Linked DNA regions of Styela clava. The protein of the gene in region 3 purifies or fractionates together with the protein of the main gene of each other region. This does not show direct contact. Links are inferred from orthologs where the notes say so. Each region holds a gene or a part of one and is shown on either strand. Other genes may lie near its edges. The genes, in order: protein numb homolog, ralBP1-associated Eps domain-containing protein 1-like, AP-2 complex subunit mu and AP-1 complex subunit gamma-1-like.

Evidence for each region.
Region 1: the proteins of AP-2 complex subunit mu (region 3) and protein numb homolog purify together in Homo sapiens (affinity purification with mass spectrometry; 3 studies listed by BioGRID and IntAct, counting the BioPlex papers as one, with this or other methods). This does not show direct contact. The link is inferred for Styela clava from reciprocal best matches to the Homo sapiens genes AP2M1 and NUMB.
Region 2: the proteins of AP-2 complex subunit mu (region 3) and ralBP1-associated Eps domain-containing protein 1-like purify together in Homo sapiens (affinity purification with mass spectrometry; 3 studies listed by BioGRID and IntAct, counting the BioPlex papers as one, with this or other methods). This does not show direct contact. The link is inferred for Styela clava from reciprocal best matches to the Homo sapiens genes AP2M1 and REPS1.
Region 4: the proteins of AP-2 complex subunit mu (region 3) and AP-1 complex subunit gamma-1-like purify together in Homo sapiens (affinity purification with mass spectrometry; 3 studies listed by BioGRID and IntAct, counting the BioPlex papers as one, with this or other methods). This does not show direct contact. The link is inferred for Styela clava from reciprocal best matches to the Homo sapiens genes AP2M1 and AP1G1.

The regions. Positions count from the first base shown.
Region 1 is NC_135258.1:8,272,853-8,279,708, reverse strand, and holds the start of protein numb homolog, read left to right. Parts: upstream 1-3,856; 5' UTR 3,857-4,017; coding exon 4,018-4,146; intron 4,147-5,545; coding exon 5,546-5,620; intron 5,621-6,856. UniProt on the Homo sapiens protein: Regulates clathrin-mediated receptor endocytosis. Plays a role in the process of neurogenesis.
Region 2 is NC_135259.1:15,707,111-15,714,866, reverse strand, and holds the start of ralBP1-associated Eps domain-containing protein 1-like, read left to right. Parts: upstream 1-4,747; 5' UTR 4,748-5,513; coding exon 5,514-7,756. UniProt on the Homo sapiens protein: May coordinate the cellular actions of activated EGF receptors and Ral-GTPases.
Region 3 is NC_135263.1:5,962,847-5,970,394, reverse strand, and holds the start of AP-2 complex subunit mu, read right to left. Parts: upstream 3,017-7,548; 5' UTR 2,916-3,016; coding exon 2,842-2,915; intron 2,232-2,841; coding exon 2,105-2,231; intron 1,532-2,104; coding exon 1,393-1,531; intron 489-1,392; coding exon 406-488; intron 92-405; coding exon 68-91; intron 1-67.
Region 4 is NC_135263.1:918,283-925,880, reverse strand, and holds the start of AP-1 complex subunit gamma-1-like, read left to right. Parts: upstream 1-4,593; 5' UTR 4,594-4,645; coding exon 4,646-7,171; 3' UTR 7,172-7,598. UniProt on the Homo sapiens protein: Subunit of clathrin-associated adaptor protein complex 1 that plays a role in protein sorting in the late-Golgi/trans-Golgi network (TGN) and/or endosomes.

The DNA.
Region 1 (6,856 bases), on a different chromosome or scaffold from region 3:
CGAACACTTATGTCAATAGTAGTTACTATACACACGTTATGTCTAATTGAATATAGTCTACCTTCATTTTAAATATAAATAAAAGAGGAATACTGTTTTTAGGGTATACTAGGAACTAGATATTAAATGCAAGCATGAAATTATATTACATTTGTTATAGAGGTAATTGATAAGCAATAAAACGGAAATAAAAAACAATTGCACTTTCTTACATTGGCGTCTAGGTAGGCTGTGTGTGTACCTCGAACAGCAATCTTTATACCTTCATTTTGGTGATAGAATGAACAGACAGAATGAAAATCCGGAGAGACGGATTTTAAAATATTTGAATGCTTGCATTTATTCTTCCACATTATTCGATGAAATCGTAAACTGCAAAAGAATCTCACATTTCGCTTATCGTAAAATGAATGTAATTGTTTTCAACATTAAATAATATGATCATGATCAACATTTTGCTTTTCGAACTGATTTACAGATCACCTGTGCTTTTAATAGTGTGATGTTCTACATGAAGATTTGAATCGATTTTACCAATTGGATTTAGATCGATTTTAACAAATATGTTTGATTATTAATTAATGTTCAAACTTTAGAAAGAAAAGAACAGAAATATTACCTAGAAAATATCTATCAATTTGAATTTATAATAATTGACTTTGACATTATAAGCTAATAATATGCTATGTCTAATAATAATATATGGCTCGCAAATCTATTATCTACTCGCACGGTGTGTCGTAAATGTCGTGTCCCACTTTGCTCTGGGACAAGTGGGACACGACATTTTTGAAACACCCCATTCCGAATGAAACGACGGTAACGAAATAATAAGTTCGTATTTTCAGCATGATGAAGAAATAAATTATCCATTTTCCATATCCATATTCATTTTTACATATTAGAAGCAGAAGTTCAGAAATTTCAGGTAAATTTACTTTCGTTTCTGTTAGACTCAATCACGGGTGTCGCTGCTCGATAACCAGTATTGGTTTCTTGCGCTCTCCTGAAATAACAGTTTTGTTTCTTTTTACATTCTGTACTCTCGAAGTGTATTTCATGTATAAATAAACTAATAATTACAGCTCAACAATGCTTGTCAGTTGCCAATAAATATATTTATGTAAAAAAAAAAAATGAAATCCCTTTTTACATTCAGATTCTAGTCACTTTCTTCTTGGACAAATTCACACTTATGCTTCCTTATACGTATATACTTACAACATCAATATTACGAAAAGAAATAAAATGATGAAATGAATAATAATAAAGTCATTCTTATACTGCAAATTCAATGTGTCAGCCCTGGGCAGTGGCCTCCAACTTGGGTTCCACAGAAAAGATTATTGTGGATAGGAAAAATTATTTATTGCTATTTATTTGGGTTAAAAAAGTCACACTGCGTGTTCTTGAGCAGATTATCTATACATACAAGTAGATCCCATTTTCTATTCGACGCCTCATGTCCTTCGACCCGATATCTAACTGAGATCCAACTATGTGCGAACGGCCACTACATCATCCATCGCATTTTTGCGCGCAGTTTTCTCGCGAAGTTTTGTGTATTGGTGAAAGTCACTCTTGCATAACAGTAATGGGCATACTACAGCCCGCGGGCCAAATCCGGCCCGTTGGGTAATCCAATCTGGCCCGCCTGATGCTGCCACAACCAAACTAAAACCAAATTTTGATGTTTTAGCTACAAAATAGCGCAAGGAATTTGCTGAGATTGTGATTACATTTGCGCGAAGCTTATTGTTTTCCACTTTTGCTTTTGAATATTGTGCATAGAATGTAACTTTCTACGTCACACTTACTAGCCCGCTAGTATAGGTGGGGAAATTTTTGACACCAGTCCAAAAACCTTCCCTACCCCTGGCTTAAACGTTAATTTATTTCGAATTTTCTCACAACGTTATCAATACTTTTAAAGCCGCATACAGGGTGTAAATAAAGTTACTTTACAATTTCAATTTTGTTGTGAACTCAGTTCTTAATACATATCTATATATCTTAACCAGGTTTGTTATTTTTTATTCATCAGTTACTTCATTTAATAGTGTATATTTACGATTTAATACATCTGTGAGGGCCAAAACAATATATGATATATCGATAAATTCCTCTTTCAATTTAAAAAGAAATTATCACTTCATGGGCATCCTGTAAATATATACTTTCTGATGTGAAGGGAAACAAGAGAGCTATGCTCAAATATATGGACACGTAGGCACCCAATGGCAATAATTTTGATGACGTCATAGCGAAAAAAAAAGTAATAGCCTTCTGGAGAAAAATTTTATCTTCAACCACTGAAAATTTCAAAGCAATTGGTCCAGTATTCGAAGAGAAAAGCGACTTTTTAAAAACGTGTCAAAGAACAAGAACAACAACAAGGATAACAAGAACAACAACAACATAATATTGAAACGATCGTTATGTCCACTACGTGTCCAATAATGGCTCCACTTTTTTAAACCAACTTGGATGTTTCTCTAACGTTAAAACCCTCGAAATTTGTTGGTTTATAATAGCCTACTTTTGCGCATATAAATCACGAAAGGTTGTATGTAAAACGTTCGCCAATAAAATGACAGTCGTCTTGATAGTTTTGTAAAAAGTGTCGAAGATAAGAAGTTCAGAAGAGTTAAGACTGGTAATATGAGGTGATTTAAGTTTATAAATGCCGGGAACGATCACGTAGGATTGGGAGGTGGGATTTGGCACGTATAATTCGAGTGGAGATTTTGTATGGGATTAGAAATGAGAAATTCATGAAAAGGTTGCTTGATGCTTAGCTGTCGCGGGGGGGACGTGATAGCTATTTGGTTAAGTGGAGGAAGGAGGAATATAATATAAAATTATAAACGGTCATTTATATTTTATGCTACCAATTATGGTGCCTCGCAATCTAAAATGTATTCGACAATCGTCCATGCGCCTGGAACGAATCGCTGGCTAACTATTCCAATACTCGGAGTTGGCTGGTAACCGGACGAGGGTTCAAGGTTCGTCATATGATTAAGCTTTCTAGTTGGCTTACTTCCCCAAAGAGTATACATGACCGCCGAAACAAATATGAAATTCTATCCAAACTTTTTACTCTCTGGCGTCACAATGTGACAGCAATTTGCATTCTAAAAATCCAAACTACAAATGGGAATGACGTCACTTCGTTCTCCCTGCGGTCGCGTATGGAAAAAGATTCTGAAATTACTACAGTACGGTACCGAAACTCTCAAAAACTATGTATTTAAAATAAAATGATTTGATTCAAAATATTAATACGAAAATTCCGTTTGGCATTGGAATTTATTTGGCGAAAAAGGGGGTCCCGGTACGGTACCGGTACCGGTAGGATACTACCGTAACTGACAATATTCTGACAGTCAGGTACCGGTACGGTCTGACGGTGGTACCGTATGTTGCATTAACAGACTCAGACTGAAGTTGCAAAGCTGGGAGCACAATTACTGAATTAACTTACTGACTTAAGCCCTACCAGTCAGCCAGTAGTCTAATCAGAATAATATTGTTCTTGTTGTTGTTTTAATGTAAAAGTGACAGCTTCGACAGTCCAGCAATCTGACAGTTGATTTTCAGCAAATTTCTGCATTAGGCTATTTGTCTTCTGGTCTGCTTTTGAAAAATGAAGTCCTGAAGTTAGTGATTTGGATAGCTAGATAAACATTTTTATGCTTTGAGTAAATTTTGTAGAAAGATAAACCAGCGTAAGTCAGTAAGTTGGATTACTGTATTACATGATCAAATACATGAATTCAACTCATTTTCCATCCTTATAACAGTATAATGTCTGAATGTCAGTTTATTTCATGCTTCGTAGATTAAAATTTTTGATGTTATATTTTTGTAGCATTGGTCGCTCAACTAGCCTATCATGTTTTCCAAATAAAAAATAGATAATAAGACTCCATTGTCTGAAAAAGGCTGAACGTGTAAGGGAAATATCTTATACTACAGTACTATTGGAATTATTTAAACACTATAAAAATCACTATGATGCGGTCAATTCGGAATAGTTTTCGAAGGAAGAAGAAACCAAAAGTTCCAGAAAGTACTCAACCACCTGAATGGCAACAGGATGAAAAATCTGTACAGACTGGAACTTGTAAATTTCATGTTAAGGTAGATAATATAAACTTTCTGAATGTGTGTGTATTAATATAAGGGTTTCAAGAAAACAACGTCAAATGTTAAAATAGAGAAAAAAACATTTTTTTAAAAAAAATTCTAAGAAATAATGTGAATGCTTTTTACTGTTTCAAGCTGGCTCTAATCAAAGTTCAAAGAAAAAGGTATTTAATGAAAAGAGGAGTTTGAAATTAAAAAATGAATGTTTTCTTCATTTTCTAATGACCTTTTTTTTTCAAATTTTTTATTTTCGGGTTGAAGCTCTTGCCTAGTAGATTTGTCAGCCTGAAATAATATATTTTATAGCTTATTGTAACACTGATAGATGTTCGTTTCATTGTTGATATACTGCATTCAAATTTTATTACAACTACGGTAAATTTTCAAGTTTTATAGATAGATAGATTTTATTTTGATTCATTCGCAAAAAAATAAAACAATACACAAAAAAGAGAAAGGCGAAGAATCTGGAAATTGAACAAAACCTAAAAATAAATTTATAACATATTAAACGAGTTCGTTCACTCACCGAAGAAGAAAGAAAACAAATCACAACAAACACAAACAAATAAACATCAATACAAATGATTGGTCAATATTCAGGCTTCTAACTTCATAATCAAATTACCTGAAATTATTTACAAACAAAATAGTGAACTGAATAGTGGATATGTGTGCGATGTGTGAGATGGTGTGTAAACAAACAACCGAACAAATTGTTTCCAGATGAAAATGTGTGAACCTATGCCAAATCAGCTATATATAACGTCTACACAATGATGCGAACATCGATTGTCATCGAGATACTTCAGCCTCTATTGTATTCTACCACAATTTGGTCTACCACTCTTGTAGCATCACCAAACAGTTCGATCAGCACAAAATATATGACAGTGATTTGTTGTAAGATTAAAATTATGCGAAACAAAAACAATAACAACACAGGAAAAATTGTTCTATTTTATACCTATATTCCAACTTTATTTGGTAAAAACTTGTTTTGTCCCTTTATTCAAATCTGTAATTAGTCTGTATCAAACAACAGCATGAGCTTTTTTTTATTAGGGACAAATTGGTAATACTTGATATCAGTCAATTACTCATAAATACAAAATCTATATTCACACATAATTGTTTTAATCAGTTGTGTTAAATTTATCTAGCAGCATATTTAATATCAACAAATCAGTGATTTAAAATTGTGGATGGTTTTTAATAGAAGATTTATTGGAAGAAACTGATGATTATAGACACTTTACCGGACAGTGATGCATAATAATTTATTTAGTGTTATGTATTGAAAAGTGGGCAGTAAATAGAAAATGAAAGATGAATAGCGAAAATTCCTAAATCTGCATCATCTGGTTATTTTTTTTTTTTTTTCTCTCTTCAGTATCTTGGATGTATTGAGGTTCAAGACTCAAGAGGAATGCAAGTTTGTGAACAAGCAGTGAAAAGTCTAAAAGCGGTGAGACTTTATTTAATTTCATTTGCTAATTTTTGTATCAGTGTTCATGTACATGTTAAAAATTTTGTGGCTATGATATATATCAGTATAAATTGTGTTTCTTTTATGTTTGTTGTTAGTTCTGTACGGCAAATGAAGGTTTGCAATTAGCTTCAGTAAAAAATTGGATTTTTTTTTTATCAAATATCATTATAATGAAAAATTGATATTTTTGCAATATAATGAGTGTAGCATATTCATATGCCGTTTGTCTGGTTAAACATCAAAATACCTACCTGTGCACTTATAATACAATTATTGCTTATTAGATCACGAGTCTATTGCAAATTAGGTTGTGTATTTTTGTTACACAACTGACAGTTAATTTATGTTAGTTGGCAAATCAAGCTGTATATATCAATTTATCAATGTCAAATATGAAATTTTAGTGTGCTTCAAACAATGGTTCATATCGGGATTAAATATAGACAGTCGGAAGTGCGGTTATCCTGTGTTTTAACATTGTGGTGCTAATGTATCATCCTTATGACGTTAATTCTTTATTGTTTGTTTATTTTTCCTTTCTAATTCAAAGACGTTTTCCTATAGATTCAGGATGCGATAAGAATTTTTCCTCGGGCAATTGAATGCTTCTGGCGTAATCAAAGCAATCATGATATTGTGGGTTCATGCATAATATTTTTACGACATTATAACAAGCATAACATAGAAAATCTGTTTTGTGACCTTTGGCTTAGTTTCAAACATATCCCACTGGAAAAAGCATAATTAAACCGTGCTTTACATACAAATGAGCTCTCCTATTGATTGATAATGAAGCTATGTTCAGGATAAGATTCCCCAGTGCACGAACTTATTAAAGCTCTTAAGTTTGTAAATAATTATTCCCTTGACTGATGGAATTATGTGTATTATCGACTATTCCCCATCCAAGTGTTGGTGACTTAATATAAGTATGATTAAGTTAATGAAACATATAAATTTTTAATTTTCAAATGTACCCAGTAATGTCCAGTAATTTAAAATCGTTAATTCATTTCGACGTAATAGGGGTCTCACAGATGGACCAAAAAGGCCTGCATATTATGATTTTTAATAATTCAAATCAAACAAATTCAAATTACTGTTTATCTACTATTCCCCTGTATTTCCAAAACAAACTCATTAAGTATGCATGTATTGACTTTTTTGTTTATTGGTTGAATATTTAAAATGTATTCGGTATGCTAATATGTA
Region 2 (7,756 bases), on a different chromosome or scaffold from region 3:
ATTTTATCAAAATGTTTATATTTGTCTAGATTCTAGAATATATACAATGCCACACAGGATAGAAAAAGGAATCAAAACCATAGTAGAAAAATATTTTCCAAGTAACAAAACAATGGCAATATCGATCTGTGCAAACCAAAAGATATGGGAGGATATGATTTACTGGACATGCCTATATTTGTGAAATGCATGTATGTCATGAAGGCATTTGAATATTTTAATTAGGATAGGGTTTACATTTTTATCTCGAGGGAGAGGAAAGCCGATAAGACGACCTAATCATATGGCGAACCACGGCCACTCGTCCGGTTACCAGGTCAGGTATGGGATTAGTTAGCCAGTTATTTGTTTTCGGAAGCATAGACTTGAAGTTAGATTGTTGACTTATAGGACTGTGTACGTTTAAATTTTCAAACGTTATTATTATTGAATGCTTTGAATGAGCACCTTTAAATATAATAAAATTCTTATACATCACAGTAACACTTAAATATTCATGAATGTGAGCTTAGTAGTCTATGGTCGCAGTACCGGTACGGTAGTCTAAACCAGTGCTCCGCAACCTTTTTTAACTCGCGGCGGACTTATAAAACTTGCCAAATTTGACGGCACACCACAACAAACGAAAAATACAAGGTGTAACTTTGTTTTATGTTCATATAACAATGAGAGATTTGTGGTTGTTTTATTGAGCACAATCGCTCTATATTAGAACCATTACGTGACGCGCAATCAATTTTGCAACACGATAACTAGCTTTTAATGCTTTTTCTGAGACTGTAAAAGACGACTTCACAAGGCACTCTTGCTTCTTATTTTGACTTAACAACCGCTGGAAATAATTTATATTTTTGCGTGCATGAACGGCAAGTTTCGTATTTAAGTGGCGCATAAGTTTACTCGAAAACATTGCTTCATTTGAAAGTTGCTCCCCCCAAATAACCCAGACTGGTTTTGGAGCATCTCCGTTACCACAGCAAGAAAATCCATATTTGACGTAATCTTCCCTGTATTTCCTTTTGACAAGTTTTTTTTTCCAACGTTGCTTGTGCTAGGTACAATATGTTGCTCAGTATCAGCTGTTGTTTTAAAAAATGTATCCATTTTGCAAAACTTTAACGTTCCTTGGCTTTTTTAATCAAAGACCACTGGGCACTGATTCTGCAAATTTCCCCTTTTTTGATTCGATTACTACACGTGATATGTTTTAGCAGGGTTGCCAGACCCCAGCGATCAAAAAAAGCCAAATCAAGACATAAAAAAAGCCAACAATTTTACTAAGTACAAAAGCCCCATGATTTAAGCCCTTGGCAACGTACTGATGATGATATAGACTATAGAGCCATTAGTTCATTCAGTGAGGCACACGAATAGAAAGTAAAGTTTCTATACAACTGTAGAAAGTAAAATAAATATCGAGCGGACAGCATTATTTTACCATTCAATATATACAATACAGGGTGCCGCTTCAGTCTGTCAGTATGTAATATACCTACATGTTTCTACTTGAACTTGTGATATATCTTAAAAAAACTCTCCCTATATCGTACTCTACTATTGAAAATTTTTTCACTTCCAAAATTTATAAACCATCAATTTTATTAAAAAGTTATCTAACCCCCTGCCGCTCATAGGTGTACCACTGATATCTTATTCAGTAATTTTAGCGTAGTTAATCACATCGTTACTGCAATTGCAGAATTAAACTAAAGCTCACATAAACCATATCAGGCATAATGAAAATTGAGTTATACAACTATTTTTTGGAAATAGAACGTAAAACTGACAAATAACACGCAAAACTATAAAAACGAGACAATGTTTACAACCCTGCTTGAACATCTGTCTGAGCAGCTGCAGAAACTGCAATTGTTTCTTATTGGGTATGGGTAAGAGTCAATGTAACAAACAAGGAAATCGATGCTCCAGGAAATCCTAAAGTTAAGTAGCTAAGTACAGGTAATAGGCTATTGTTCAGTTGTTACACACCAAATATTGTATTTCATATAATATTAATAATAGACACTAGAATAGACTTGAAAAAAGCCAAAAAAACGCCAAACGGAAATTCTGACGCCAAACGCGTTTGAAAAAAGCCAAAAATGGCAAATTCGGCGTTAAAAAAGCCAATATGGCAACCCCGTGTTTTAGCCTCGACAATAGGCTTTACAATATACGTACTTGTCATATAGGCCTACTCCTTGTTACGTCACAAATGCACAGTGGGGGGGTGTCAGGAATTTGAATTGATGTCGCTCAAGCTAACGTAAAAGCAGGTTAACTTTACGTTAGTAGCGTAGAGTGGTAGACTAACGCAAAATTAACTAAAGATAAAAAATAATTTGTAAAAAGAAGTTTTAAGGAGTGTAATATCGACATTTTTAGGGTTTCAATGTTGAGAAAAATACATTAATATTTCCTAGACAGCATTTTTATGTGTGCTAGACCGCATTTTTATGCGTATAAGTGACTTATTTTGCTCATTTGATATGAATATATCCTACAGGTATAGTCTACAGACGAAACTGGGGTCCGTCTGTTGTAACGTTTGCGAAGTCAGACTGCTGACTTATAGGACTGTGTGCGTTTGAATTTTATTTGTTTGTTTTCAATACATACTTTTAAATATATTAAAATGTTTATACATGACAATAACACATATATATATATATTCATGAATACGAGCTTAGAGCTTCTAAACTCGACTGTCGAGCAATCGCTGTGCGAGGTTACGATATCGATGCTCGAGAGGCAGAATAGGCACTGTCGCTGCGCCTGGCAAAGAAACTGTTTTGAAACATGAATATGGGATTCCGTTTTTTGATACGAATGAGGGATTTTATTCGATTTTTATTTTGCTATGAACATTTAGTATACTTATTCTTTGCGATACTGTGGTATGTGGTACATCTTTGAGGTTGGGCACCTCCAACAAGTATCTTTTATACATCGTTTTTATACATTAACTGTGGAATTTAATACTGTATTTGTGGGGAGCTGACTCTGATGGCATTATGGTCGTATTGCACCTCCCAGTCTGTACCGAATTTAACTTGTGTATTTCGTATATATTGTGTGTATCATTGCTTGTTTTCTGGTGGACGAAACAATAAATATCTCTCTCTTCGAGGACGGGATTCGGCATATAACCATCCGTCTGTAAAAAGCCCCCCTACACACGTACCTTCTTGGTGTGCAAGCTGAGGTTCAAAGTCGGCGATAGCGGAGACGCAAGCCGAGATTACAGCTCTGCTGTCGCCGAGCTCAGATTTCATATAATGACATCTCCAACCTCACAAAATCTTTCACTCAAACGCATTTTTGTTTTAGGGAATAAGATACCTAATTAAGCACGTTATGGCTTTAGCCTATGCCAGAAACAGGCGATGTTACAACATAAAGACCCAGGATCACATTTCGAAGGTTTAATTTTTTATAAAAGATGCGATGGTGAATGATGCACGACATTTAATTTTCCCTACAGGAAAACAACTAGTTTTTCTGTCGAAGGCAGAAACTTGGTTGGCAAGTACGGTAGCTGTGTTGTATATATTTACGGTTGTATGACTCTCGGGAATTGATTTTGTAACCTCTCAGAGCTCATTTTCTGCCTGTCATTGGGATTGCTCGACTGGTGATTTGAGTTCTCTTGTGATCTGTAGTCGAGTTGTCTGCCTCTCGAGTATCAATATCGTGACCTCGCAGAGCGATTGCTCGACTGATGGGTTGGCTGCCACTCATGGCTCTACATATTTACCCCCCGGGATAAATATGTAAATCTTATCCTAACGTTACTCCAATTTCATCTGTAGACTGTATTTCTATTCATATACCATGAGAAAAATAAGCCACTTTTGAAAATTAAAATGCTTTCTAGAGAATATTTATGTATTTTTCTCAACATTTGTGCCCTAAAAATATCAAAATCACATTTCTATAGACCTAACCAACGACTAACATGCCGACCTAACCTAAAACATCGCCGTAGAAAATGCGGAAAGACAGACAACTCACCAGGCCTCTCTGTAGTCGAGTTGCCTCTGGTGAGTTGTCCGTGTAGTCGAGTTGTCCGCCTCCCTCTGTATCTATGATCTGTTTGGGTGTCAATATTATAGTACAGTTTTAAGGTACGGTACGGTACCGCAGTGCCACTACTGGCAAAAAAAAGTGCCAGTACTGGTATGATTCCGCTCTGCAGCTTATATCTGTATATAGTGTCTTTTTAAAAAAACAAAAACAAATTATGTACCGTCCAGCAGTAATTTGCATCACATTTTTGTTTTGCTTTATTTGGGCAGTTACCGGTACCGGTACGATACCGGTACCGGTATGGCGTTTCAGCGTTTAGTCTAACTTACTGTACCGGTACGGTAGGCATACCTCGCGAATACCGTATTTCTGTATTCGATACCGGTATTGCCTGTCCTTCATAGTTGACGATGCTAAGGCAGTGAGGTCTCCCTTCGCCCTAAAACTGTAAAATTTCGTTTTTTATTTCACTCCACTCTGCAGCTCTGTTCTGTGTAATAATGTACACTGGCTGTTTTTTTTTTCAGTACTGCAGTATGTGTGAAAAAGTAGTCCAACTGCATTTGGATTTTGAAAATCAATCTAGAAATCCCTAAAACCATCCATCCACCCTGTATATTGTAGAATAGACTACTGCATTATATTGATTCACCTAGTCTAGTACCGTACTGTAGTAGTTAACCTATTCCAATATCTGTACCGGTACCATATATCAGTATATTCAGATATCAGAAATTTCTATCTATGACTTTGTAAATAGTATCATCGATGATAAAAAAGACGATTCAATGATCTGTCCTTTTTTATTCAGGAAATAAAATTATCAGGTCTCAAACATATTTTTTGCACATTTTTCTGTAATTTTTCCAATGCTAGGTTGTCAGTATATCTGCATACAGGTATATCACAGGGTCCACAGGCTTTTCGGCCTATAGATTTTCAGTCCAGAAGTTTTGGCCTTTTTTGCCATGAGGTAGCATAATACAGTAATATGGTTTAAGTCAGGGGTGTGCAACCTTTAATAAGAGCAGGCCAGATACAAATGACTGGGTGAAACCGCGGGTCGCACTTTTATTTAACAGACTGCGTAGGCTTTCTAGTAGTTCCAGACACAAAAAATTTAGTTATTGATCTTATGACATGGGTTGTTCGCTTCGCTCAAGCTAGCTGCTACAGTGCTAGGGCATTGCAACATCATGTGCATGGAAAATAAATTGGACTCAGGTAGGCTATAGTCTTGGAATTACTCACATGTACCATATTAAACTAAATTAAAAACTCATTTTGCAGGCCACACAACTTTTCCTTGGGGGTCGCATTCTGATTGTTTGATTTTCTGTGCATACCAAATGCTCCCAATTTGTGCATTTTTTTTTTAATTGAATGTGCTTATCTGGATAATATATTTAAACCTAATATTTATATTTTTGAGAAAAATATATAAATTGCTTGAGTACCTATCATAGTTATTAACAAAAGTTTTAATGACTACTGGAACACCACGACAGGCATTTTTGAAGTCTCAAACAGAAGGTGGAAAAGCATGGATGAGTTTTGAAGAAAGTCCGATTCATTCTGCACCACCTAAAGAAATTCCTCGTTCTGTCGTTAGGCAGGATGAAGGATGGACTTCATTTTCCGAGTCAGCTGTAATATCTGTCAATCAAGCTGGCCCTCTTATTGCTTCTCCTGCACCTGCCAGTTATACTACTCAGTCACGGCCAGATGTAATCCCATCATTGCATCAAGGAATCCAGCCTTCAACAAGGTTGAATGATGAGCCTGTTTCTAGTCGAACTGGAATTGGATTAGATCTTACCCACAATGCAAGTCAAGCTCATCCAGCAGCCAGTCACAGAATTACGCACCCCGGTACACAACCTCTTTTAATTACGCATGGGCCTGGTAGTACAATTAGTCATATTCTGAGAAATCAATCTTCTGACAACGATAATGACTCTTCGTTTTTAGCGGACAGCCATGATAAAATGGCTAACTTAGCTGGCAATGACGAAGTTTTAGACTCTCACAATAAAATAAATTCTTCACAGCAAAAACATATAGAAAGCCACCAGTCCTTGCAAAAACGCCCTTCTGGTGATGCATACTATGCTACTGACAGCAGAAGAACTGAAAATGTTACGCATGATCCTTGGTATGTCACAGAAGAACAAGGATTTTATTACAGGAATCAATTTGAATCGATGCAACCTCAACTTCATGGTAAAATAGATGGTCAAACTGCCCGTAATTTCTTCACAAAATCAAGACTTCCAATCCCAGAACTTTCTCATATCTGGGAATTGTGTGACATGGACCAAGATGGTCATTTAACACTTCTTGAGTTTTGCGCAGCTTTCCATCTTGTAGTTGCGCGCAAAAATGGATATGAACTGCCAGCTGTCTTGCCTAAGACCTTGTTACCCCCTTTAATGAAAATGTGTGGCATTGGAGAAGTAAATCAATCTTTTAGTAACATGAATGTAATCTCAACAGATACACCTGATGGTAAAAGAACGTCTGAAATAAAACCTACTGAAAGGCCATTGTATGAATCGGTTGATGGTGAAAAGTTACAACCAACTCAAGCGCCTATGAAACCTGCGAAAAATCTTGCGGAAAAGCCTGGAATTCAGCCTCAAATAACTCATGTAAAACGAGAAGATAACAAAACTCACTGGAATCTTGAAAAATGGGAAACATTCAGTGACCGAACTTCAAGTTCAACGAATCTTGCAAATTTTGACCAATCATTAGATCATGCTGATAACTCGGGTATAGTTCACCCAGTAGCACTTAGAGTCACCCCTTCAAAACACGAAATGCACACTGCAAAAATGAGCTCAAAAGTCTCATCTAAAAGTACTGATGATGAAGACCATCATGCACAAGGTCTGGTAGTTCCACCCTCGCACAAATCATTAACAAATCCTTATGGTTCATTGAAGAATGATACATCAGAACCTGATAGTCATGCCAGTCCCAGAAGGCGTTCGTCTTCTAATTCATCACATTCATCAACAGGGACCAGTGATAGGTCACTTACCGAAACTGATAAAAAACCAACACGCAACCCATCATCTGATCAAGAATACCAAAGTGATTGGTCATCTCGGCCTCTTCAACCTAGATCTGGCTCAGATTCTTCAATGGAAAGTTCATCGATGGAAACAAGTGTAATATTGCGAGATAATGTTAACATTGCTCCAACTCCGCCACCAAGACCAACACAACTAGCACGAGAAGCAGCACATACTAAAGTTTTATCAGATTCCACAAAAACTCAAGTTCCTGGTCCAACTCCACCTCCGAGACCTCACACTCAACAGCAACCAATTGTTACAGAATCTGCAGCCTCTCAGTCGGAAGAATTTGCTGATTTTAGTCAATTTGAAAATAGTCGACAAATTGAGGAATCAGTTTCACCTAATCGTCATTCCCCAGCATCTGCAACTGCACATTCTAATAAGCAAGAAGGTAAAGATATTGAGACTCCGAACACAAAGCCCACCCCTGCACCAAGGCACAGTCAGGTTGAAAAACAAAGCAGGGCAAAAGATGAAAAATCTCCGGAAAAGGCAACAAATAAAAAAGGATATTCCGCACCCACAAAACCACCAAGAACTCGTATACAAAGCGCAGACTTATCAATCGCCCCTGATCGTCACACAAAACTCATGAAATCGAACAGTGTAGCGACAGGATCCAGTGACATACCTATTATAAT
Region 3 (7,548 bases):
GATAAACAACAATACGGTAAAAAATACGAACAGACATCTGGACATCACATTAGAATTATTAAATTACCTTTCCAGACAATGCAGTTACAACCTTATTTTATTAAGATTTGCACAATGTCAAAAGAAACAAGAGTTAGTCATCACACATAATTACAGCAATAAAGTTCAAATTCAATCAATTTCGAAAATTAAAACTTTTCTTAATAAAATTTGAACAAATTTTAAATTAGAAATACCAAGTGTCAGTGAAAATTATTAATCCCTTCAGAATACAAATTGCATCAATGACACATTCATTTCAACTGAATTAGAGATTTTAAAAATCATCTTAGTTCTTTATTTAAAATGAAAATAACTTAAAGCTTTTTACAAAATGTTATTAAAGATCATAAATAACATAATAACCTGAGTTTTGATTCCTTGTTGCGTAATAAATGTCTTTAATATTCCAGTATCAGTCTTCTGCGGATATCCGAAGTCCAAAACCTCTGTAATAGGTAAAATTCATTGATAAAAAAAAATCCATTTGCAATTTCAAATACTGTAAATGTGAAACATTTTAAAGCTAATCTAATATGCATCTCCATTAGCTTGATTGTTAGAAATAGGCTTTTTACGATTCAAGTGCTGTTAAATTCAAATCTTAACATTGGTATTGGCTTCAGTAAGTTGGCATTGCATTGAGTCAACCTTCATCAAATACTCAACTGGAGTTGGATTGATTGAATATTTATCAAAGACTCAAAGTCGAGTCATCTAAATGAAAAAATTCAAACTTGTCATCAGCTGACCGCCTGTGAGAATTAACTCAGCAATCATCTTGACTCCAGGACTCGACTTGATGGCACAGATAACTCATGGGTCGTAACTAGACTCGCAGCTATGAAATTAGAAACTACTTTGGAAACCCTTTGAAATCTCTTTCAACTTTGGAACCCCATTCCACATATACAAATAAGAATGATTTACTCTAGCATTCCACTCCCCAATTTTATTCTCCCATTTTGTGAATATAATTTCAAACTTTGGAATGTTCTACCTTAATAATTTGTCATCTGAAATTGTGAATCTTAAACATAATAGTGTGAAGTGGGGAGTTGACATTGATTCCTGTCTATACATACCAAACTAATTTATCACTTGGTATTATTTTTATTATTACGATGACTGGTATTTTATTTTGATCGACGAAAAACAAATCTCTCTCCCTCTCTCTCTACTGAACGCTGCACACTTGAGATCTAAGGTTCGAGCTGAGGTCTATCTACCAAACGGTCGGAGGGTTGAGAATGAGGTATTGGGCATGATAAGCTGATAAAATACTGGGATGTTCAAACTCAGGATCTTCTAAGTTGATAAATAAAAGAGAAGCTATGGTCTATGTACACTAACCATCTAGAAGTTCGTATATCAAAACAAAATTGTTTTTGATATTTTCTTCATTGATTTTTCCAAAATAACTTTGCATAACATCGATCATTTTAAGAAGAAATTCAAAAACAAGAACAGCGTTGACATTTTGCTTTGTTACCTGAAAAATGAAAGCGTTGTTTAATTGTATACTTTCTAGAGAGCTTGGTTTCTAAACGCGATAGAATTTTTGGAAAAATCGTAAAGAAAATCAGCATTAGGGTCATAGCTAACAAAAGCAAATCCATTTCCCACCAAATAACATATAGCCTACCTCAAATGTTACTAAAGCTATATAAAAATGTGTTATTTTTGGACTATTTTGAACAGTCTTTATACCATTTATCAGTGCGAAATTGTTTACTAGAGGTACTATAAGTAATTCCACAAGGTATTTGAGAGAATCAGGAAAGTATCGAAATAGAATCAAATTTATATATCTGGTTAAATTGCTCTTGGTTGACTATATTGTAACATATATTATGTTTTCCAATATTTTAATAAATCCATTTAGGAAAGTCTCCAAAAAATGGGTTAGCTTAAAAATCATAGTTATTGATTTTTGATATAGATACACCATAATATTGATCAGTCTTATAATTTTCATTCCCCTAAAAATGAATCCTGAAACACAGCAGTAAAGCATTCCTTGTTGAAGTAAAAAAATACTGTGATTTCTACAATAAATTCTTACAGCACATAGCCATATATTTCCTCGTTTTGTATGAAAGAAACTTGTCCGTGCTATATTGGTAACAGGTGATCGCACTTGCTGTCTTGCATGAATAACATTGACACGAAAAGCATCACACGCGTTCCGCCTGTAAAATATTACATTGTATGTCAGAACAATGAAATACTACAATTAGCAAGTGCAGTTTTAAGTATTCCATGGCGTCTGCAGCTGCCACAAAACCATGGCGGTATTTCCATATCATGGCCGCTACGGCCAAACCTATGGCGACTGACTTTTTAGCTGCCACAAACCAATGTCGAGCTGCCGTTACCGCGGCAGCAAATTGAAAACCAATGGCAGGTAAAATTTTGCTGCCGTAACCGCGCCTCACAATTAGGGAGAGTCTATAAATTCAGATTACTTCAAAAATAGCTATTGGCTTTTCTGGACTGGGAGCGTTCATGCGATTGTAAGCAGGGATATGGAGTCTGGAAATTTTTACAATTGACTTTTGACTCGAGGATAAAAAAAATTTGGCTAAGTTTCCCAGTAGAGAAAAATTGACTCTCGCTCCTACTTGTAGAATATTTGGACTCTGGGACTCCAGATCCAAATTCTGAATCAAATTTTTCAATAAGAACTTTGACATAATAGGCTGTTATTAATAACACTCTGTAAACATACACATAGTATAATATATATAGAAGTGCAAAAGTTATAAAATCTGCAATCAATGGTCATAAAGAACAACATACCCGATATCATCACGATATATCCTCGATATGAGAACTTCTCCCTTGTGATTGTAAAGGAAAAGACCACCGATCATTTTGGTGGTTTGACCAGGCCAGAGGCCTCAAACGCTTCAGACAGAAATATTCAGTTTCCCTACTTTTATAAGAACATAGCAGTTTAAATAGTTCACTAGCTTTCAATGAAAGAATCGGAAAAAATTTAAATGAATATAATACATGAATTAGGTGAATACATGAATTAGGTGATTGCTTCCCATTTCTAGATATTGGAACATAACCACTGTCAGACTTTCCGATTAGAGAAACTGAAGCTTAGTTCAGTAACGCACAGTACAGCAGTACGGTACTACAAATTCACACCCATTTCTGCATTTCAGCATTTGGATATAACCACAGACAGAGATACCGAATTGTATACAGGACCGTACTGCCAGTCTGGATTTCATGGCCTTTTTGAACGAGAAATCGGGCGTGCAATCAGAAATTCCCGCGTGCAAATAAGAATCCCTGGCGTGCAATTATCAGAGCCATTATATAATGGCTCTGCAATTATAGCTCACGGCGTGCAAAACAACTGCGCCCGCGTGCAACTGACTTTGACATTAGATACCTCTCAATACATCACCGTTCGGTATCGGATAAAAATTACGTTGAATCAGATCAAAAATGGACGTTTGACCTTTAACCCCAAACATTTTTTTCTACAGTTTGTCGCTAATTTTGAGAGTGTTTGTGCGATATTGGATACCGGTACTGTTCAGTACATCCGCGTAAAATTATTGAATAAAAAATACGTTGAACCAGAGAAAAATGGACATACTTTGTCATTAATTTTGGGAGTGCAAATTAGAGCAAAATTGGCCGTTTGACCGTTGACCCCAAACAGTATTTTTATACTCCGTCACTAATTTTGAGAGTGTTTGTTCGACTTTAAATACCGGTACTGTTCAGTACATTCGTGTAAAATTATTGTATGAAAAATACGCTAAATCAGAGCCGTACCTGGCCAGCGTTGGTGCGGGGGCGATCTTTTCGTCCATAACTGTTCTCACGGGATTCCTATCATTCAACACGATATGGTCTTTTTTGCTTCGCATTTTTCGATCAGACCAAATTTTGCAAGCTAGTATTAGTCGACAATTGTGGAGTTATAATATTTTGGCATCTTTATATTACTGGATTATTGATTTTAAAACAATTTAAACCGATTTACATTGGTGAACAATTGCAAATTTTCGGCGTGCAAAATTGAATTCGCTCGCGTGCATTTTTGCGCAGCGCTAGCGCCCTCGGGCGTGCACCCGCCATGGAATCCAGTCTGGCCGTACTGTAGCCTACCGTCTGTCGGGTAACCAATGAGTAAAAAAAAATGAGAAAACTGCTGTACTGGAATAACAGAATCAATTTCCATTACTGCAATATGATCTTGTACCGATACCGTCTGACCTACTGTACGTTTACGACCGTAAGTCTTAAATTTACAGTATTGCTGTATTGAGTTAAGTTAGACAGTTCGGGCAATCAATCAATCATTTTATTTCGTCTCTCTGACTAAAACGGAACAATACAAAAAAGTAAACAGACAACAAATACAGAGATACCTGGAAGGCGAGCATAACTTAAAATAAAGTTAAAAAACGTACAAGTACGTGCCCACCCACCAAAAAATAAAATAGAAATAATACGATTATACAAAAAATATGGACACGATTCAAAACCGGGCAGTGCTTATAACTCAATTTAAAATGATAAAAGCCAAATAATTGCTTGAATCAGTGGATAATTTACATGGAGTAAAATAAGTGTTGTGCTTGAAATAAGACAGCAAAATTCAGGTAGATAAAATTAAATGTAATAGAATCCCAACGACCTCCTCCGTCTCTGATAGATGTTTCAAATGTTTGTATACGATTATGGTAGCTGAGAAATCGCCAGGATTAGCCTTACAGTAAATATATATAAATAAAGCTGATCTCGAATTCTGTAAATTTTGGGTCTGAGATTCCCATATAGCATAGAAATATACCGATACAGGTCAAAATCTATCTATGATAGATCATAGATCTGTTATATATGTACTTCCATACAGGTACCGTATCGTTGAACTCTGTCACAGAGTCGGTGTACAATTTCAGAATTTGCAACTCATTACGGTACGTACCGGTACGGTACGGTAACGTTTCATTAATCTTTCTGTTTTTGTCTGTTTGTGGGTCGACCGCTTCCGGTACCGGTACTCATTTCGCGTGTGTCAATAATCATTTCACTTACAAGTAAAATAGTCTACTCTAGACACTATGCAGGCAATCAGCAATAACAAGCCTAACAAAACCGGATTATAGACTCTCAACAAAATTGACAAACGGAAGACGGACGAAATCAGGTGGGCGGACACGCCGAAAGTTTACTTTTGACAAACATGCAAACTTTAATGCTATAGCGACCACTAGTGATAACCCGAAAGGCGATTGATTTCCGGAAAATCGTTCAACCGTCCATAAACATTTCTACTCAGTATTTTAGTAAACTGCCAAAATCTTTCATTAAATTCTGTCAAAAGTTTGATATATAAATTGTCGTTGACAAGTGCAATGTTTTTGTTAATTCATCCCTAATTTTGATTCATCCAACCGTTTAGAAACAATTGTAAATAGTAAAAAGCACGCTAAGAACATAATACATGCCCAAGATGATAAATCGATCAAAATAGTTGTTTTTTTCATAGATAAATTTATCTCATTGCACAGGATCAAAAGTTTAAAGCTTGAGAAAGCTTAGATAATAATTCTATTTGTCTGAAGAGAAAGTGAAATTTATTATTTATTAATAATACTGTACAGTCGTCGTAACAACAAGCAATAAATATTTTAACAAAAGAGCGATGATTGAAGTGCGCGATTTCTGATGACGTCATGGCACACAAAAATTGAATCCCGCAGACATTTTTAAAATTAATAAAAGTAATAGCAGTAATAGTAAAATACAATATTCAACCACTGAAAATTTCAAAGCGATTGATCTTGTAATTGAAGTTAAATCGATTTTTCGAAGAAAAACAGGAAAAAAACAAGAGAACGATATGATCAAATAAACGGACACGAAATAGTATAGGTATGCAGTCTGTCACGGTAGTCTACCATTAAGGTGTCGATAACAATGTAGCCTACAGGTACCATTTGACAACCGCGAAAGCGGAACCGCCACAAGGAGCGCAATTTTTGATTTTGAGAAGGTTATCGTACACAAAAACAAATTGCATCAGAAGCCACAGAAATTTTTAAAATAAATAAATAATCTTCTAGCGAAAAATACAATCTTCAACCGCTGAAAATTTCAAAGCAATTGGTCCAGTAGCTATTGAGAAAAGCTTCTGAATACTAACGAGGAGATCAACAATAACAAAACAATCCATAAGAAGACCACTGGGTGTCCAACAAAAGCAACAACGTAATAACAAAACATTTATTTATATGTACACACCGTGTCCAATAATATGTTCAGTAGGAAAAACGCTTAAACTTTGCAATGTAAGGTAGCCACCCGACTTTAAACCGCAATAAAAACTCTCCCTATACTTTATCTATGCTTATGATGCGGATGTTTTCGAGAATGTTTTTTTTTTAATATATTTGACCAACTGCAATAAAAAGTACACTTACTTTAGTATACTAAACCCCATCTTTTTGAAACCGCGTGGTTTTTGAAACAAATTGCCTGCTAAGTTATTCAATTTGCACATATGTCGAAGGTCCATATGTGCTAAAAAATGGCGAAGGATGTATGTTGACCCAAACATTGACAATATTCTGGGCGCAACTCGTGCGACATTGAGGTATTTTTCCATTGACATACTTTTCCATAACTCAATAGTCCCTCACCCTAAAGCACATTTCAGTTGGTTTCATCATAAAGAGAATGCACGATGAATCATAATATTTCTGTTAAATCGCAGCATGATCGTAGTTTGCAAGATATTTTTTCCAAAATAAAAAAACAAGACGGAAAGAGCCGCATGAAACCGCAGCAAGGGCCGCATGCGGCTCGCGAGCCGAGGGTTGGCCATTCCTGCTCTATACTGAACCGATTCAGTTCATAAAAATTTGACATTAAGTAAAGACCTATGTGCAAATGCATAACTTTGGTAACTGTTTGAACCTGAAAATCAGTGTTCACATTGCGTGTGACGTCACTTCCACTTGACTTTATTCAACGTTTAACAACATATCGCAATGGTCAAATTTATAGAAAATAAATCGTGGGATTAAAACACGGATAAATAAGAAAATTTAAAAAGGCATCTAACAAGGTGCTGGAAATTTTATCCCGAAAATTGATAATTTAACTCGACCGTTTAGTTCAGGTTGTAGCCAATCATAGTGTGTATCTGAATGTTTATCACTCACAGCCCGTCGACCGCTGGTCGTGTAATTTCATATTACTCATGATGTAAAAGTGCTATTCTCTTACTTTGGTGTTATGTTCCTATGTCAAACGGTATGTGCCGTTTTTAAACGCTAGTATCCCTACGTTCTAATATGTATTTATGCTTTGATCATTCATATAAACTTATAAAGTCAGGCGATCTATTTCATTTTCATACAGTAAGTAACAACTTCTCCGTCCATATGCTTCAAAATGCACTTCGATAGTTTGTGTTTGTATTGGCGATTAGGGTTTATTTTTTTTAAAAAACGGAGTTTAGCTATT
Region 4 (7,598 bases), about 5.0 Mb from region 3:
TCATATGTTTGTAGATCGGACTTAAATTTTGTCGCAAACGTGTACTAGTCAATATTCTCAACGCACGATTTTGTAAAACACTGATTCGATTCAGATAAGTCTTAGAAGCAGAGCCCCATGCCACAATTCCATATTGAAGATGAGTGTAGAAAAGCGAAAAATAAACAGTTCTTAAAACTCTTTTAGGTACAAGATGTTTCAATTTGGTCATAGCACCAAGGGCTCTTGACAGCTTACGAGCGAGCTGATCAATGTGAATTTGCCAATTTAGTTTGTGATCTAGGTTGACTCCTAGGTACTTCACAGAATCATATGTAGTCAATATCGAATTATTTAGGGTAAATTTTGGAGTTATGTTAGAGGATTCAAGACTTTTGGCACAATTAATTAACAAGACTTGTGTCTTAGCAGGATTCACAGTAAGTTTGTTTAGAGTGAGCCAGTTAGAAATATTCAGCAAGTTTGCATTGACTTTATTTTCCAAGTCAGGCAGATTTTTTGCTGCAGACGTAGAACTTGTGTCATCAGCGAAAAGTTTTATTGAGGCATTGGTAGCGTTTACGATATCGTTAATATGTATTAAAAATAAAGTTGGTCCAAGAACCGACCCTTGCGGAACTCCAACTGAGACTTTTCCACTCAGTGAGGCAGAACCACCTAATGACACATATTGATTTCTGTCATGCAAATAACTCGCAAACAATTTATTCACAACTCCGCGAATACCATAGTGACTTAATTTGGTAATCAAAATGCTGTGATCGACAGTATCAAACGCTTTTTTAAGGTCCAGAAATACGCTACAACCTACTGAGCCTTCATCTATAATGTTATAGTACTGACTGACAATGTCTATTATTGCATGGGAAGTGCTATGTTCATTACGAAAACCAAACTGGTCATTATTTAGTACTGAATGTTTATCTAAGAAGGATTTTAATCTAACTAGTAATAATTTTTCAAAAAGAATAGCAAGACATGATAATATTGAAATAGGGCGATAATTTGATACTTCACACTTATTTCCAGATTTAAATACGGGCACAACTCTGGCTACTTTCAAATGGCAGGGAAAAATTCCTAGAGACATTGAAGCATTAAAAAGTCTACATAAAACAGGGCTAATGATATTTTTTAGAACTTTCAAAAGGTTGATTGGTATACGATCATGACCTTCTGCCTTACCATTAGTAAGAGAATTTATATGCGTTTCAATCTCAGAAGGAAGGGTGTCCTCCAGATACATAGATGACTTATTTGGCCGTTTTAAATAATTGAAAAAGTCGTGACTATTACATCATACTATACAATATAGACCGGTATGAGTGAAATGTTAGGTGAACTTGTTAACCCTTTGAATCAATACGCAAATAAAAGTGATTGAGCAATAGTACGTTACAGCAATGCGTATATATCCTCATTGGTTAGAAAAATCTAAATGGAGATGCATGAACTATTTGAAACCATAAGGGGTAATTAAATATGCAATTTCAGCAAATGGGCAACTACGTACCGTACTGAATTAATAACTTCGTAGTATTTGAAAAAGCTTAACAGTGCGATGCCCGGGTGTGATATACAAAAATAGTATTTACCTTACCTTTTTCCGATTTCTTTTTAACTTAACTTTCCAAAATATCATTAAAATCGACAACAACTGTCAAAGCAAGCACTAACATCATTCGTGCTATGCCTTGAAAGCAGCACACATCCGCTCGTTTTCGTCTCGTCAAGTATGTGCATTGGAGCGTGTTATCGATTACGATCTTCGGCCAAAAATGCCGGAGTTGCGCATCATGTTGTTTAATGTCATTGCTCATACTAAACGAAATCAGGGGAGCAGGTGTGTTCATGCTTGAATGAAAATTTTTCCCACTGGGTGGAGCTACGTGTTCATATATTTGAGCATAGCTCTCTTGTTAACTAATCCCGTACCCGACATGAACTGGTAACAGGACGAAAGGCCGTGGTTCGCCGTGAGCTTAAGGCGCCTTATCGATTTTTTCTTACCGAAATAATTATGAAAATCCTATTAATGCTAATCCGGACAATGGCAAAATAACGCTATGACGTCATCAGTTACGGTACCGGGAAATTCTGAAGGTGTGGGGTTTCGTGTTTGCCTGCTATAATGAGTTTCTATTCATCGGCCTGATTTTAGATTTGTGTGAAATGGGAAATATGATTAATGGATTCTAAGATATATGCAGATGACTGAGAACTCTTGAGCATATTTTTATATTTAGACAACTGTATAACAAAATTTTATCATTTTAAGTTTTGTTACTGTTAGGCTAGGGTTGAGGTTGAGCCAAAATTCTGGGATTGTTGATTACAGGATTACGGCTTTCAGGCTTTACAGTACGGTACTGCAGTACCCAATCACTGAATCAGTAATTTATTTTTTCACATACCGAATATACGAAAGTATACAAACAATAAGGTAAAATATAAAATAATGTATTTCAGCATGAAGGGAGACGCGATAAATCAGTCATGGTTATCGAGCAAGAAGAGTAAGAAAGATTTATTGCCACAAAACGCGGGTCTCGCGTAGTTTAGTACCTAACGTGCTTCTAGTGGGCGTAGCATAACAATTATTTGATATGTCAATCCTAACCCCCACCTGATTACGCCATCCAAAAATTAAATTGCTACGACATCACAATCACGTCATAGAGCTTGCCAAATATACGCACGATCGACCAACATGGCATTGGCGCCGGCGATAAAGAACTGACTGACGTTATCGGTCTCTCTCCTATTGGAATCGTTGCGACGAGAAAACGAGAGAGATAACTTTTCGATTTCGGGTGCTCGTTTGCGCGTCTTGGATGGCAGTTCGTATAGTTTGAAGGGCTCTATTATGTCACTGTGACGTCGTAATGACGTTATTTTTGAATGATGTAGTCAGGTTGGGGTTAGGATTGATACGTGAAAAAATTGACATTCTACGCCCACTAGAAGTATGTTAGGTAAGAAACTACATGAGACCCCAAAACGCCACCTTTGAGGAAGTGTAACATAGCATCATAAAAAACTGCGCCACCTTTAAGGGAGTCTAACATAGAATCATGAAAAACGGGAGAAGGAAGCCGAACAATATTTAATTGGCCATTTAGGTGCGTTACGTTATTTAACAAAAATTGGCCATTTATGTGCGTTACGTTTAAGCGACCTGGGGTTTCGATTACAATACAATTTTATTTCGATCTTTTGTCTACAACACAGAACACAACTAAAAAAACACAGACAATGGCGACAGGAAAATGGGAAAAACCTATATACAGTACAGCACACTATCCAAATTCCAAGAATTTCCCTCCATTTGGCTCAATAAATCAAACGCTCTATGTGTCTCACAAACAAGGGGCGTCTGGACCACATCAGATGCTTCATATCGCGCCATGCTTGTTTCAATAATAATCTTAATATATCGCGGACGTCACATGACCAAAGTTGCCGTTTTTTGCTGAAAACTCTCGAATGCTATGGTAACATTTTTTTTCTTTGGTAAATCGGAGGGACAACAATGTCCAGACGTCCACCAAAGGAGGGGTGTCTGATCATCTGTAAAATTGGTTTCTCTGAAACGGGACAATGTCACTCGATTTGTATAGTGTGCCGTACTGATATAAAGGTTTATAACGATCGCTGTACTGTAACCAGTGTTTGTGCCCATTTACTCACACTCATCGAACAAGTGAAAATACATCACGATAATCATACAATCATACTAGGATAAATTCATGAACGTGCATGAACACGAGAAAATAAAATTCATGAGCAAAGCTTGCTTGTAAAGTTGTAAAAAATTTGAATGAGTGAAATTCATGAAGAATTGAAGAAACAATTGAAAATTATATTACCGTGCCTGTGTAGAAATATGAATACCAATAGAGAGAGAGAGAGTAATAGCGATATACACATAATATTTACCGGTAACAAATTGCTGAATTTAGTGAAGTTTAATTGGTTAGCTGCTTCTTTTTATAAACAAACAAAGCTAAAAAGCAAACATAAAAACTAGTTTCGGGCGATCGCCCGAAATGACATCTGCTCCGCCGATAATGAACTTGCTAAAGCCGGCGATCTCTCTCCTATAGTGATCGTTGTGACGAGAAAGATTGCTTGCTCGATTTCGGGTGATCGTCTGTGCGTTTTGGACGAGCATCAGCATACTTCGGTGGGCCTTATTACGGCACTGTGACGTCGAAATGAGGTAATTTTTCGGTGACGTAGTCAAGTGGGGATTAGGATTGACATATGCAAAAATTGTTGAGCCAGGTCAACTAAGTACATGTGGTACTAAACTATACCAGACCCGAAGATACAACGGAAAGTCATTGAAGTAGTCCATCCCCATATCACAGCTGCTTTATTATTCATTTAATGAATCTGTAAACTCCTGAATGCTATGATACAAGCAGTTGGCCACAGTTTGTAATCAAACTGTCAAATGCAAAGTTGGGTATATTTATATATGGGTATGGACAAGAAGCTATGAATTTCCACGTAGTTTAGCCCTGTTATTGTATTTCCTCTCCCCCTGGATAAATATGAAAATTTTATCCGTAACAGACACCTGTTTTTACTTCATGTGTTTTAGATCTCACAATTAGGTTAAACATTTATTTGTATCACAATGTTTGCAAATGTAACGACACATACACCTATCAGGCTGAGAGATTTGATTCGCAATATTCGAGCTTGTAAAACTGCTGCGGAGGAGCGTGCTGTTATCAATAAAGAATGTGCAGACATCCGTAACGGATTCCGCGACACTGATACCACGTTTCGTTGCCGTAATGTAGCAAAATTATTATATATTTACATGCTTGGATTTCCTGCTCATTTTGGCCAGTTGGAAACGATGAAATTACTCCCTAGTTCACGATTTACTGATAAAAGAATTGGATATCTTGGTGTAATGTTGCTTTTGGATGAAAATCGAGAAGTCCAGCTTCTTATGACGAATTCATTGAAGAATGATCTTGACCATTCAAGTCAGTACGTTGTCAGTTTAGCTCTCTGCGCTCTTGGAAGTGTCGGATCAGCAGAGATGGCTCGAGATCTTGCACCTGATGTTGAAAAGTTAATGAGAAATTCTAACGGATATATCAAGAAGAAAGCTGTTCTTTGTGCATGTAGAATCGTTCGAAAAGTACCAGAATTGATGGAAAATTTTATCCCGTTGACGAAGTCGTGTTTGAACGATAAAAACCATGGAGTTGCCTTGGCAACTGTGTCCTTGATCACAGAAATGTGTAGAGCGAGTCCAGCGGTTTTGAAAAGTTTAAAAAAGCTGTGCCCGACTCTCGTGCGGATTTTGAAGAATTTAATCATGTCTGGATACTCGCCAGAGCATGATGTTTCTGGAATTAGTGACCCATTTTTGCAAGTTCGTATTTTACGATTGTTAAGAATCCTTGGATCACACGACGGCGAAGCTAGCGAGATTATGAACGATATATTGGCTCAAGTTGCGACGAATACTGAAACTAGTAAAAACGTTGGGAATGCAATTTTATATGAAACGGTCCTCACAATCATGGATATCAAATCTGAAAGTGGACTGAGAGTTCTTGCCGTCAACATTCTGGGCCGATTTCTTCTCAACAATGATAAAAATATCCGCTATGTAGCGTTGAATTCTCTTCTGAGGACAGTCCACACGGATATGAACGCTGTGCAGCGCCATCGCACCACTGTTCTTGATTGTTTAAAAGATCCGGACCCTTCGATTTTGCGTCGTGCAATGGAGTTGTGCTTTGCTCTTGTGAATAGCCATAATGTTAGAGGAACTGTTAGAGAGTTACTTGCGTTTTTGACCCGTTGCCCTCCAGATTTCAAGTCCGACTGTGCGTCAGGAATCTTTCTAGCTGCGGAAAAATTCGCTCCTAACCGTCGCTGGCATATTGATACGATGTTGAAAGTTCTCACGACCGCTGGTAATTATGTTAGAGACGACACCGTTCCAAGTTTGATACATCTGCTATCTGATAGTGATAAATTACATTCCTACGCCGTTAATTCTCTTCTAAATGCAGCAAAAATGCCTGAAAATATTGACCAGCAGCCTTTAGTTCAAGTTTTATCCTGGTGTCTTGGAGAATATGGAGACGAGTTAGCTGAAGGGCATCATGATTCTGGAGATGTAATTGAGCCAGTCTCTGGCGACCAGATTTTAGATTTTCTTGATGACACTATTGAAAGTTCATTATCGAATCCCGTAACAAAAGCGTATGCTATTAATGCAATAATGAAGCTCAGTGCACGAATACCAGGCATAGAATCTAGAGTTCGTCAAATTATTGAGCGCTTTGGAGTTTCACACAGCACCGAGGTACAGCAGAGAGCTGTGGAATATTGTGCACTCTTGGATAAGCATCATAATCTATGTGCTGGTGTTTTAGAATCGATGCCGAAATTTGAAAAGCCGCCGGCGGAATCGATCGAAAGAGAATCTGAAACAAATTATGGGGAGGAATTGGAAGACAGAGAAACGGAACAAAATGTGGCAACAGTGAAAGAAGCAGCAGCACCACAAAGCAATATTGATTTATTGTTAGATTTAGTCGATTTGAATAATTCCGCAGCATCGGACACGCCCATTGTCCCGCCCATGGGTGGGGCCCCTATACAACCAATACTTCCGATGAGTAATTCTCTTAATCTCCTCGATGACATCATGGGGTCTCCCCCACCCGCTATGCCAAATACGAACGGGATTATGGGTTCAGCCCCACCGCCAGCAATTAACGGGTTAGCAGGGCTAATGCTTGGTGACCCGGCTCCTGTTGCCACAAATTTCATTCCAGAAATGACAGCGTTTGAAAAAGGAGGTTTGAAAGTTATTTTTTACTTCGATAGGAAGCCAGGAGACTCAGTGCTTTCCATCAATGTCAAAACAAGTAACCAGACCCCATCTGAAATTTCGGATTATGTATTCCAAGCAGCGTTACCGAAGCAGCTACAACTCCAGATGTTGTCGCCATCAGGAAACGTGGTTCCACCGAACAGTGGTGGCACTATAGAACAGCCAATCAAAATTAACAACCCAGGAAAAGTGCCGTTGAGAATGAGGCTACGAATCTCATATACGATCAACGGACAACCTGTTACTGAAATGGGGGAAGTGAATAATTTTCCTGCTGCTTCATGGCAGTAGAGAGTTTCAAGTGGGCTCATTGCCCCCCTCAAAAGTGTATTATCACAAACTAAAACTGTCCCGAAAATGGGCTTTGTTGAAACTATCAAGATCATATATTTATATAGTTATATTTGAATTTAGACCAATTATGATGTAATAATATAATGTTCCCGCACCAACAAATTTTGTCAATCAGGCCTTGGCATATGGGGTAGTTAATAATCCTGGGTTTGCATTTTCTTCTTATTGTACTCGGAATGGTATATTATGGAATTATATTCGATATTTAAAATTCTTGGTTTTCTGATATATTATAGGGTCCTTAAAGTCTCAAAATTTTTTTAAACTGCAAAGGGAATTTATCGATACCATATTGTTTTGGCCCTCACAGATGTATTAAATGAGGTAAAAATGATTGAAAAACAACAATCCTGGTTAAGATATA